Xenopus tropicalis: one gene and its partners. The protein of the gene in region 3 purifies or fractionates together with the protein of the main gene of each other region. This does not show direct contact. Links are inferred from orthologs where the notes say so. Each region holds a gene or a part of one and is shown on either strand. Other genes may lie near its edges. The genes, in order: scaf1, ctdp1 and polr2g.

Region 1 (3,656 bases), on a different chromosome or scaffold from region 3:
TTCCGTTCAGAAGAATGCCTTCGTTTGTGGCGGTTACGTGACTCACTTCCAAGTTTGACAATTTTTTCCATCCGCAAATAGGACTTGACATCAGGTTTTGCAATGGATTCAAGTGAAACCTTTATCTCCAATTTGGACTTTGATTCGGATTCTGTTGTAAACTCTGCTTTTCTACTATAATCATTGCCAACATCCACAGCAAACACCCTTCTTCTGGGTTCTGCTACTGCCTCTGACGTGTTTCCATCACTAAGAGTCGAGTCTGCCAGTGGTGGTTCTTTTATACTTTTCTCTTCTGATACTTCCCTCGAAACATCTTCTACTTCATCAGCTCTGTCTAAATCCAAGCTGGAACTCGGGCTGTAAGGCTCAAAAGCAGACTTTGTGTTGTCCTTTGCAGAGGATTCTGAGGATTCTCTGGAATGTTTCTGGTCGGGTTTTTCATTTTCATATTCGTTATTATCATCATTCCCATCCTTGCCTGTGACTTTATCTGATTCACAGGACTGAATTTCCTTCTCCTTCTCTCCACCTGGAAAGTCTTGGCTCAGACTATTTTCATCGTATATTCCAGCCAAAGCTTCTGAGATACGGCCTTCAGCATGTGATTCACTGCCTGCCTCTTCATCCTCTTCGTCCTCATCATAGGGTGAAGGGCTGCTCTCAGAAGAGCTAGGATTGGAGCCAGTAGGATCAAAGGGATCATATTTTTGATCCTCTTGTTCATCTGTTTCTTTCTCAGGTGTGTCATCATATAAATAATCTCCGTTTACATTCTCCTCATCTGTGGGGTGAAAGGGATCATAAATATCAAGTTCTTGGGACTGGTTAGATTGTGCTCCACTGCCACTGCCAGACAGTATTGGCATTTGAGAAGAGGAGGAAGATGAAGAGGAGCTGGAATCTGCCTTTTCCAGAGAATTAGGAGGCTGTGAATGCTGATTAGATGTGGAGCTTTCTGAACCACCAGGTCTCTGCTGTCCACTCGATACCCCTTTTCCATTTCCAAGGGCAAGGCCCAAAGATATAAATGAACCAGGACTAGGTTCAGTTGTTTGTGTATTGCCATGTATTGGGGTAGTCCTGCCAGAACAAAGGCCATTATTCCCTCTAGATCCTCTAAAAGATTTATTTGGATCAGGAACAATCCAAGAAAGTCCAGGTAGCACAGTTTCGGTAGAAGTATGAAGCTGTGAATTTGTTTGTAAGTCCGTTCTGTCTGCAATGCAAACATTCTGTAGAGCATTTCTATCTGTGTGTTTTCTACTCCTGTGAAATGTCTGTGGGGGATTCAGTCTTATGACTGAAGAACTTCTGGTAGGCTCCAATGAGCCTTCCATTCTTGTTGGGTTACACATAACCTTTGCACTGACAGAGGCTGATTGTCCACTTGTAACATGTAGTCCTGAGGTACTTAGGCACACTGCAACAGAAAAGAACATGATATTAAAGAAAAATGCCTATCAGTTAGTTTTATAATGTACAACAACTGCACAGGGAGGCAATATGGGGGCATCTTTGCACATTGGGTCTGTTAGGATCCGCTTGTTGGCCAAGTAGCTAAACAATCTGTTTTGGCCTAGCAGATGGGTGGCCAAATTGGACAAAGGTCGAGCCAACTGACAAGGTCTGGAGAGATTATTTAGTTCCTATGCTCAGTAGCATCGACCACAATCATTACAGTCCAGCCCAAAAACAGGTTCAAGAACAAATATAAAATTAAAAAAATGACATCCACTACCAATAAATATACTGTACACTTACTACTAGTTTCTTCATTTTTTAATGAAGTCCCTATCGATAAAACTAGTACAGCAAGGCAGTACTAGTGAACTCCCAGATGCTCTATTTACCTGGAGCTACACAACCTTAATGAATACTTCACTGTCCATAATGGCAGGTGGCCATGTTGGGCAAGTCGCATGTACAAAATAAGCGAGTCTGTAGATGCAAGCCTGATCTTACGCCATTTGCATGTACATAATGAGTAAGCGGGGTTAGGCGATGCTTAAGGCACAGGATATGTTATTTCCGGCTCACCTGACTTCTGAATTCTCCAATGTCTGTCCCTCCTGGAGATCCCTGAACGAGTATTCCAATAAGATGCAATGTCACCGATCTGAATTTCAGCTACAAGCTCAAATTCATCTACCTCTTCTGCGTCGCTGATGATTTAAAACACAGCAGTTATTCAGTGAGGCAGTTCTATATTCATAAGGGGAAAGGATTACACTAGAGGTCTGTATACTGGGCCTCACTGTATAAATAAATCTGACATATCACAGTCAATACCGAGGCAATCTGCAATTAGTCTTCATTATTTATTTTTTCTTATATGAATAGGATAGGAGCTGACTAATAAACCAAGTAATAAAGAGTAACAACATTAAAACTGTGATCTCATAGAGCAATAGGTTTTTGGCTGCAGGGGTCATTGAAAGCTGGAAAGTGGCAGAAGAAATATAAAGTCCAACTAAAAAGTTGCTATTTTGCAACATGAAACACGTTGGGAAAAATAAAGAAAAGTGATTTGTTACTTACTACCTGGCTCCCAACTCGATAGTTTGTTCCTCATATGGGCGGCTATGAGACCCTGCAGTGATGGTAGTGTTGGTCTTTTCCATGTAATCCAATGCAGCGGCAAAACTGGCCAAGAGATTTCCTGCTGTTTCAGGGATCTGAGAGGATTAGAGAAAATAAAGATCAGATTAAAGCTCTTGTGAGGGCCCTCTGGTGCCATTTTTATTTTCTAACCCATGTTTGTTAAATGATTGTAAGACTCCTGTTTGTAATACATTATTAGTAAAGTGCTGCTTAGCTGCACTGGGGCTACATAAATAAATGATGATGATAATTAAGAATTATTATTATACATGATTACAGTGCCATGTAAATGGGATGAGCGTAGGAAATGTGATACATACAGAATTTTCATTCTCTGCACTGAGAGGTTTTGCATTCCCAGCACCGCTGTGCTTCTTTACTTTCCTTTTCCTACAGGGCTTCGGCAGCTCTGTGCCTTTCTGCTTTGAATCTAAACAATAAAATAAGCATATTACATAAAGGAAACTGGCATGGCAGTCGACAATTAGAGGTACAGGTATCGGACCCCTTATCCGGAAACCCGTTATCCAGAAAGCTCCGAATTACGGAATGCCCGTCTCCCATAGACTCCATTTTAATCAGATAATTCAGAATTTTAAAACTGATTTCCTTTTTCTATGTAGAAATAAAACAGAACCTTGTAATTGATTCCAACTAAGATATAATTAATCCTTATTGGATGCAAAACAATCCTATTGGGTTTAATTAATGTTTTATTGATTTTTTAGTAGACTTAAGGTATTGAGATTCAAATTACGGAAAGACCCCTTATCCGGAATACCCTTGGTCCCGAGCATTCTGGATAATGGGTCCTATACCTGTACCAGCATCTCATGGAAACTTCCATTTATCTAAATTCTTGCACAAGTGCCCCATTTGCCCCATGTGCCAAAGCCTTAAGTAAAGAACCCCCCCCCCTGCAGCTGAACCACCTGTCCGATTTTACTGCCATTATTTAAAGCATTTCTTAAAAGGGGTAGTTTACCTTTAAGTACGTTGTAAAATAGCCAAGTCTTATCAACTTTGATTAGTCCTCATTCTTTATAGTTTTT
Region 2 (3,656 bases), on a different chromosome or scaffold from region 3:
CTTAAATAGTTGGGGAAAAACAATAACATTTTGTAATTCCAAATGAAATGGTACTACCTCAACCTTTCCTCTTTGACTTTGTAAAGTTTTAAAACCTAAATAATACATTTTCAAAAAAGGAAAAACAATTAGCTTTTCCAGAAATGCACTTAAATATACCATCTTGGAAAAATCTGCATGGTAAGACTGGCTTAGTCATCTAGGTATATACTGAAAAAAATGTTTATGTCTTATTAGAGCTCATAAGAGTTGCTAACCCATAAGAAAGAGTTCCAGTTAGATATTCTTGATAATAAACTGGCTTTAGATAGATGTGCCAAAAGTGCATAAAACTGCACACCTGCTATAGTATGGGCATACAGTCTGCTACCAAAAGTGAAGACATGCAGTTCAAACAGCTTTGCAATCTTCTCTAAGAATTCTTTGCAGTGAGGACGTAGCCGAGTGTGGAGCATTGGTTCTCCCCTTCCTAGCTGAAAGTGAAATATGCCCTGTAAGGAAATAAGCAAAGACTTCAATCCATGTTGAAATTATTAGCTTTGTTTTACAGTGACACAGAAATTGGGCATCCTTTTACCGACCCACTCAAAACAGAAAATCAGGTAAGCACATAGCAAGCAAGTTGCACATAACTCAGTTATTATAGTAACGTGTACTGATAAAAACACACACCTGGGAATGAAGTCATGTTTTGTATCTTTCAATTTTTTACAACCCCAAGTTACTGATCGGTTTAACCTTTTTTGAGGATCACCAGTATAGAGTAGGGTTTTTAGTATATTTAAAGCCAATGCAATGAATATATTTATCCCTACACTACATGAACTGTTTGTCTATAACCTAGAGAATTTTTTAATTTAAATAAAATTATATTTATTTATATTGCTGCAGGTCAGTGTCTGGGGTGGGAAAAATATAGGGAACATCATGAAAGAAGGAAAAAAAAGAGGAGAAAATGTCTCCAGGCCAAGAATAGTAAGTAAAAAGATATCAGGGAGAGAAACATAATGGGGCTATTAAAAGGACAAAGGAAGAGAAGGAACGTGAAGAGTGGAGGAAAAAACAAGGAAGATGAAGAAAACTGATGGAGAAAAAAGGGAATGACCGGACGAAAATGAGGAAATGGGGTAAACAGGATCTAGTTTCTAACTATGGTTGCAAAAAATGGTGGGGAAGATAAACCAAACATTATCTGTTTCCATAATGACAAGGAATACAAAATTAATTTTAACTGATTCACCTAGCCTAAAAAAAAACCAACAGTATTTCAAGTATTTTTTTCAAAGTATAGCTTTTATTTCACAAAATGCAGTCTTCCATTAAGAAAATTGTTAATCATTGAAATCCAAATAAGTTTAGACAAAATTACCTTTCTAGACATATGCTGGCAATGTTGTTCCGTGGTGTGGATTAAAGTCTGATCTAAATCAACCATAAGGACCAGTTTCCTATTTCGATGTAATCTAAGTTGGTCTTCACGACCTAGTTGCTCTGCTTTCTGAAGAAAAAAAAAAAAAAAGCAAAATATTTTCTCTCTTATTTTCTGCTTTCACCTTTGCTAGAAGAAAGATTTATAGATATTCCCTGGGGTTCTTCTATACAAATACAAACATGGTATTGTGGCATAGGGTTGGATTATCAAGTTTTTAAAAGCATCTTGCCATATTCTGACCATGTATGTATGGCTAGAAACCGCACCATAAGGTGATCAAAAAAAAAAATTAAGCACTTTTTTTTTTGTAAAGGCAAAGGAAGGAAGAGGATCGCTCACCTGCATGTACCCCAAGCTGGTGAGATTTTCTGCTAACAGAAGTACCAGTCTGGCGTATCAGGTAAGCAATCTTAATAACTGGGGGTGCCTAACATTTAGCATAGCATAGCATAGTTTTCTAGTATAGGACACCGAACAGAAATGTTTGCTCTTCGTTATCAAGTATTCCTTACACTGCTGTGTAAGGGGGATTGAACTAAGTGCTTGAAAAGTATCAAGGATAGTATATTAGAACTTCCTCACATATTTTCTGATGCAAATAAAAAAATGCAACATTATTTTTCCACAAGAATTCTAGACCAAATGTAAAATACCATATACTTACTTCTGAGCTAACCATGAGTTCTGGGACACTATGAACCATAGAAACTGTGGCTGTTGAATAAGGCACCTGCTGCTTTCCATTCTTACTTTGTAATCTAAATAAATAAAACGTTACAATAAGGGACATATCACAAAATCATATTTACTGGAACTGGCCTAAATATGAGGCTAGTATGACAGGTTAAGATTGTTCCTAATGTGAACCTGTAATGCCATGACTTCACAACAATGTAAAACTGAACAGAAAAAAACATTAACAAATAATTACATTTTCATATCTTGCTCAAATTCAAATATGCAAATGTATGTTATTTATAAGATAAGGCTTTCCATTTAAGAAAAATGCATGGATACATATATCTGTCATCACACAGACTTCATGGATACAAATACCTGTGATTAAACAGATTTTTGTCTTAGATGTTAGAAAATAATTTATCCAGTCTGTTAGAGATTTCCACGATTTGCAAATTAAATATGTGCATTTAAGTGCACATTTTGCCAATTTTTGGCCAAACAGCCCACTTGTCTGGAAAATAGATTGTCAGACTAATTATTTATACTTTTATGGTAGTAATGTAAGTAAAAGCATAAAAACAGAATCTCTGGGAAGTCTTATCAAATGAAGCTTAGCAAGAGTTTGGTGTAGAGTCTTGCACGGTCTATCCAAGGCAGACCAGTGCCTGATTCGGACCCCCACTGACTCGATTCCCAACCCTGCACCCGACAACCAATATGTCCTCCTACCCAGACCCACTACCTTACCTTCAGACCTGAGACCACAAAACTGGAAGTGATGTCACTGTGTACTGGAAGTGACGTCACTCTGGGGCCAGATCAGAAGGGGAAAAAACTTGCAGTATCCTCAGGCGAGGGATCACTCCCACACCTTAGTGTGGTCCACAGGTGGGTTAACCACGGACTGCCCTCAATGTCAAGACAAATGGGGACTTTCTGCCCGAAACCCAACCACTTTGGGGGTATTCCTTGGGTACCCGTGGATACCTGACCCCATGCACTCTGTTTTAGGTGAATGTCTTGCATCACCTAGTTAAAGTAATATATCAGTATCAAAACAGCTTAAACAGTCAGCTGAAACATAAAACTAAAAGTCTGCAAAATGAGATATTAATGGGTGGAATCTATTAACCTCAACAGTTTTACAAGGTGAAATGATCTTGAATTCCTTCTAACCATTATGCAGGTGTGATTAGCAGCGAAAGGAAATAAAAAATGGCTTATTGTTGGTAAATCCAGGAGTTTCTATGAAAAACTTACCAGGGTTGTGGGAAAAAGGTTATGTATTCTGTAGTTATATTTTTATATGATTAGCTTATTAAATACAATTAATGCATAGTAATACAAATGTAATAGTAATACAAGCAAAATATAAAATTTCACAGCACATTGGACTGTTTATATTTTTACAGCTAGAAGGATTATTAAATTAATCTCCAAAAAAATCAAAAACGTATAGAATAATTTATCTGCTTATTTAAAAAATAAAAAAATAGACATAAATGAACAAGGAATTACTTACTGTGTTAAGTCTTGGCCACAT
Region 3 (3,689 bases):
GTACATAAAATTAAGAAGCAGAGAAAATGCTGGTGCTGTAACAATCTGGCTATTTAGGGTGAGGTCCCGTGTATCTGGATGCTCCCTGCATGACATGTGAAAAAAGGGGCTGCAAGAGGCCAGGACAGAGCGGTGAGCCAGAAAGTGGGCAGTACCAACTATCACTTGGCAATCGCACAGAAAACCTTGCAACTGCTGGTCACGTAAACTGTGCAGGATACGGCGACTGTGATCTGGAAACTCCATGACTGAAACAGTAAAGAGAGAAAAACAGCATTACATTTACAGAGCAAGCAGTCAAACACTCTAGTCTTTCAAATTATGCAAGTCATATCTGTAATATTTGCAATAATGGAGTATTGTAGATGATGACAAATGATATTAAATTTATCTGTCCACTTAATAAATAGAAGTTAAAAATACAATAGTTGTTCCCACCTCTGTTTCAGATACAGGCAAACTACTTCACCTCCAGCCTCAGTCCTCTCTTGGTTAATTAAAAGAAATGTCAATAGCAATAGGGTATATTATATACACACTGCGACATCAGCTTCACAATGTCAACATTTCAACTAAAATACAGCATTTCATTTTCGGTCACGTGATCCAGACATCCTCTTTACCTGCACAAAGCAAATCACGAAAACCACGCCCTTGCCGCCAGCCTATTGGTCACTTTCTCTCCGGCCCGTCCCCAATGCTCTGGTTGGCCTGTAGAGTTGGTTGTGGACAGTGGTTGTAGCCAATGCGCAACGTACTAGACAGCGGGATCCCCGGTAGCCTCTAGGTGGGTGTTCAGTTCCGCAGCTCGGTTCCTCTCGATTCTCTACATTACAGTACACTACATTACACACCGAATCCTCGGATTACCCGGAGCCGAGCCGGTTCTGCCACACATCGCTGCCTCACGTCATTTCCTGTTGTGTGACGCCAACAAGCGGGGACATACAATCGCGCCGCCTTTTAAACGAGCTTTATTGTTCCCGGAATAGAGCATATTGGGTACATCGTGCAGCAAAGAAAGTGACTGCGGGGCCACGGAATGTTCTACCATGTAAGTCCAGTGTCTGTTTTATTGCTTTGGGCATGAATTATCACAGGCGGTAAGTGTTTATGTAAGTGTACAGAATCCTATGTGACTTATTGCATCATTTTGTAAGTGTTGCTTGTTTTCTGTGAAGCCCTTTACCTGCGGGTTACTAGGTCGGGTACAGCTGTTGTATGTTCCTGAGGCACTGGCCTGGCCTCCTGGATCCTCCTTATATGCCTTTTTGGACCATAGAGCAAACTGTTTTATGTGCTTGGCCAGTTCACTATAGTACATTCTCGAAGGCCAGACTATAATGTAGTGACTAAAGTACCCCCTGTTGTAAAATATAAGGCTATTATAAGTCACCTAGGACTTCCTTGACCATATTAAAGCAAGAGGCCAAAGGCAGAGTGATGGAACTCCTGGGTGACTTCTAATATCCTTCTATTTATTATAATACACGTGTGAGTCGTGTGACGGAAATAACATCACTAAGCACCAGTTATAAGGATATAACTTACAGGATATTCATGGCTTTTGTGTATTATATAGTGAATTAAGTACCAGGGCTGTGAAATCGGAGTCGAGGAGTCGGAGGCAATTTTGGGTACCTGGAGTCGGAGTCGGCAAGAAATGAACCGACTCCTACTAAATTTAAATGGGAATAAAAAAAATTAAAATAAAGCAAGTTTAAATGTCCCAATTCACAAACAGTCATAATTAATTACTTCTCTGCTATAAGAATAAAGCCCAATGCAGAGCCAGTAGTTCTGTAGTTAAATGACATGTATGTCTCCTTCCTTTCCTTCAATGAATGTATAAAATACATTAGCATATTAAAAACAGAGGAGTCGGAGTCGGAAGTATCAGAAACTGAGGAGTCGGAGTCGGAGAATTTATCTACCAACTCCACAGCCCTTTTAAGTACCCCCTATTCTAAAATATAGGGATATTATAAGTCAAACTGTTTTCCTGTAGTTGGCCAGTTCACTATAGTACATGCTCGAGGGCCAGACTATAATATAGTCACTAAAGTACTAAAGTTTTGGTGTAGCTAGTGGATTATTAGTAATAGCTATTGGTAATTAGCTAATAGCAATTGATATCGAAGAGGACAACATTGGAATGGTCCGATCAGTGTCTATATCAGCCAGTTAGGCCACAGTCATGTGATGCCATTTTCTTCTTGTTTTTTTTTTAATCCTCAGATCTCATTGGAACATGAAATTCTTCTGCACCCTAGATATTTTGGCCCTAACCTTCTCAACACTGTCAAACAGAAACTCTTCACTGAGGTAGAGGGAACATGTACTGGCAAGTAAGTACATATGTATGTAAGTAGTTTTGCATGTATACACTGTATTTATATGCACTAGAACAGTTGTATGTTTTCTCCTGCACATTAGTGCCATTGTACTGCTGAGTGGCGCTATTAGCCCCATAAATTATCTGTTGTCTCCCTGCAAACTTGTTTTCGCCTGCCACCATGCAGAACCCCTTTATGGGCCTGTGTTGTTCTCTAACACAGCTTTTTCCACAATGTCTCAGTAGTTGATGTTGCACTTAAAGGGTGGGCCAGACTCTGACAGTTCGGGGGCATTATTACATTTATCCTACACCTATCAGGACTTTGGTCTGACATCCAAGCCTGATGCCAATGACTGAGCCATTTGGGAAAGGAGCTGTAGCACTGGTCTGCAATGAGGGGCTGTGGGAAGGCAGGGGGGCCACAGTGATAGTGAAACTCTGCGTGTTTCATAAATGCATTTTTAATGTTCCTTTTCGTCTCTTCACAGGTATGGTTTTGTGATTGCAGTGACCACAATCGATAACATTGGTGCTGGGGTGATTCAGCCAGGGAGAGGGTTTGTGCTTTATCCCGTCAAGTACAAGGCCATTGTCTTCCGTCCTTTCAAGGGTGAGGTGGTAGATGCCGTGGTGACCCAGGTTAATAAGGTGAGAGCAGCACAAAGCAGTCATACAGTCTATTAATTTAAATTAGGAGAGCGTCCTCCTGCTGCTGTAAACTAAAATCGCATCATGCCGAGGGGAAACTAGAAGTTGGTAATGTAGACTGGAATTTTACACAACTTTTCTGTCCCAGTAGCATTTGTTGAAACATTAAAGGAAGAGTAACACTAAATTAAAGTACTTAAAATATAATGTGCTGTTGTCCTGCACTGGTAAGTCTGGTGTGTTTGCTTCAGGAAAGCTACTATAGTTATATTAATATATAAATAAGCTGCTGTGTAGCCATGGGGCAGCCATTCAAAGGAGAAAAGGCTTAGCTTACATAGCAGATAGCATATAAGCTCTCTAGCATATAAAGGTGTTCTACATTGCCTAACTGTTACCCCATGCCATTTATCCCTATTTCAATTGCCTCCATTGATACACAGCAACTTGTCTATATAAACTAGAGCAGTCTTTCTGAAGAAAACAGATTAGTGATACTAGTGCAGGGAAACAGTACATTATATTTTAATTACTTTAAAACACATTCATTTTTTTGGTGTTACTGTTCCTTGAACAGCAAATAGCAGTACCATGTCGCCATTCGCTTTTGCTTTGCCTGCAGATTTCATGAATTAGGATGCTAATATTTGTGGTGGATCAGCAGCAGGGATGTAGGTTGGCCTGAATGAATGAATGATTCAGG

Evidence for each region.
Region 1: the proteins of polr2g (region 3) and scaf1 purify together in Homo sapiens (affinity purification with mass spectrometry; 3 studies listed by BioGRID and IntAct, counting the BioPlex papers as one, with this or other methods). This does not show direct contact. The link is inferred for Xenopus tropicalis from reciprocal best matches to the Homo sapiens genes POLR2G and SCAF1.
Region 2: the proteins of polr2g (region 3) and ctdp1 purify together in Homo sapiens (affinity purification with mass spectrometry; 4 studies listed by BioGRID and IntAct, counting the BioPlex papers as one, with this or other methods). This does not show direct contact. The link is inferred for Xenopus tropicalis from reciprocal best matches to the Homo sapiens genes POLR2G and CTDP1.

The regions. Positions count from the first base shown.
Region 1 is NC_030683.2:110,787,793-110,791,448, reverse strand, and holds part of scaf1 (splicing factor, arginine/serine-rich 19), read right to left. Parts: intron 3,035-3,656; coding exon 2,925-3,034; intron 2,679-2,924; coding exon 2,542-2,678; intron 2,166-2,541; coding exon 2,041-2,165; intron 1,424-2,040; coding exon 1-1,423.
Region 2 is NC_030682.2:97,277,084-97,280,739, forward strand, and holds part of ctdp1 (RNA polymerase II subunit A C-terminal domain phosphatase), read right to left. Parts: coding exon 3,636-3,656; intron 2,191-3,635; coding exon 2,097-2,190; intron 1,499-2,096; coding exon 1,370-1,498; intron 492-1,369; coding exon 341-491; intron 1-340. UniProt on the Homo sapiens protein: Processively dephosphorylates 'Ser-2' and 'Ser-5' of the heptad repeats YSPTSPS in the C-terminal domain of the largest RNA polymerase II subunit. This promotes the activity of RNA polymerase II.
Region 3 is NC_030680.2:34,586,528-34,590,216, reverse strand, and holds the start of polr2g (DNA-directed RNA polymerase II subunit RPB7), read left to right. Parts: upstream 1-774; 5' UTR 775-1,042; coding exon 1,043-1,054; intron 1,055-2,238; coding exon 2,239-2,348; intron 2,349-2,826; coding exon 2,827-2,986; intron 2,987-3,689. Other genes in the region: zbtb3 (zinc finger and BTB domain-containing protein 3), read right to left, coding at 1-246. UniProt on the Homo sapiens protein: Core component of RNA polymerase II (Pol II), a DNA-dependent RNA polymerase which synthesizes mRNA precursors and many functional non-coding RNAs using the four ribonucleoside triphosphates as substrates.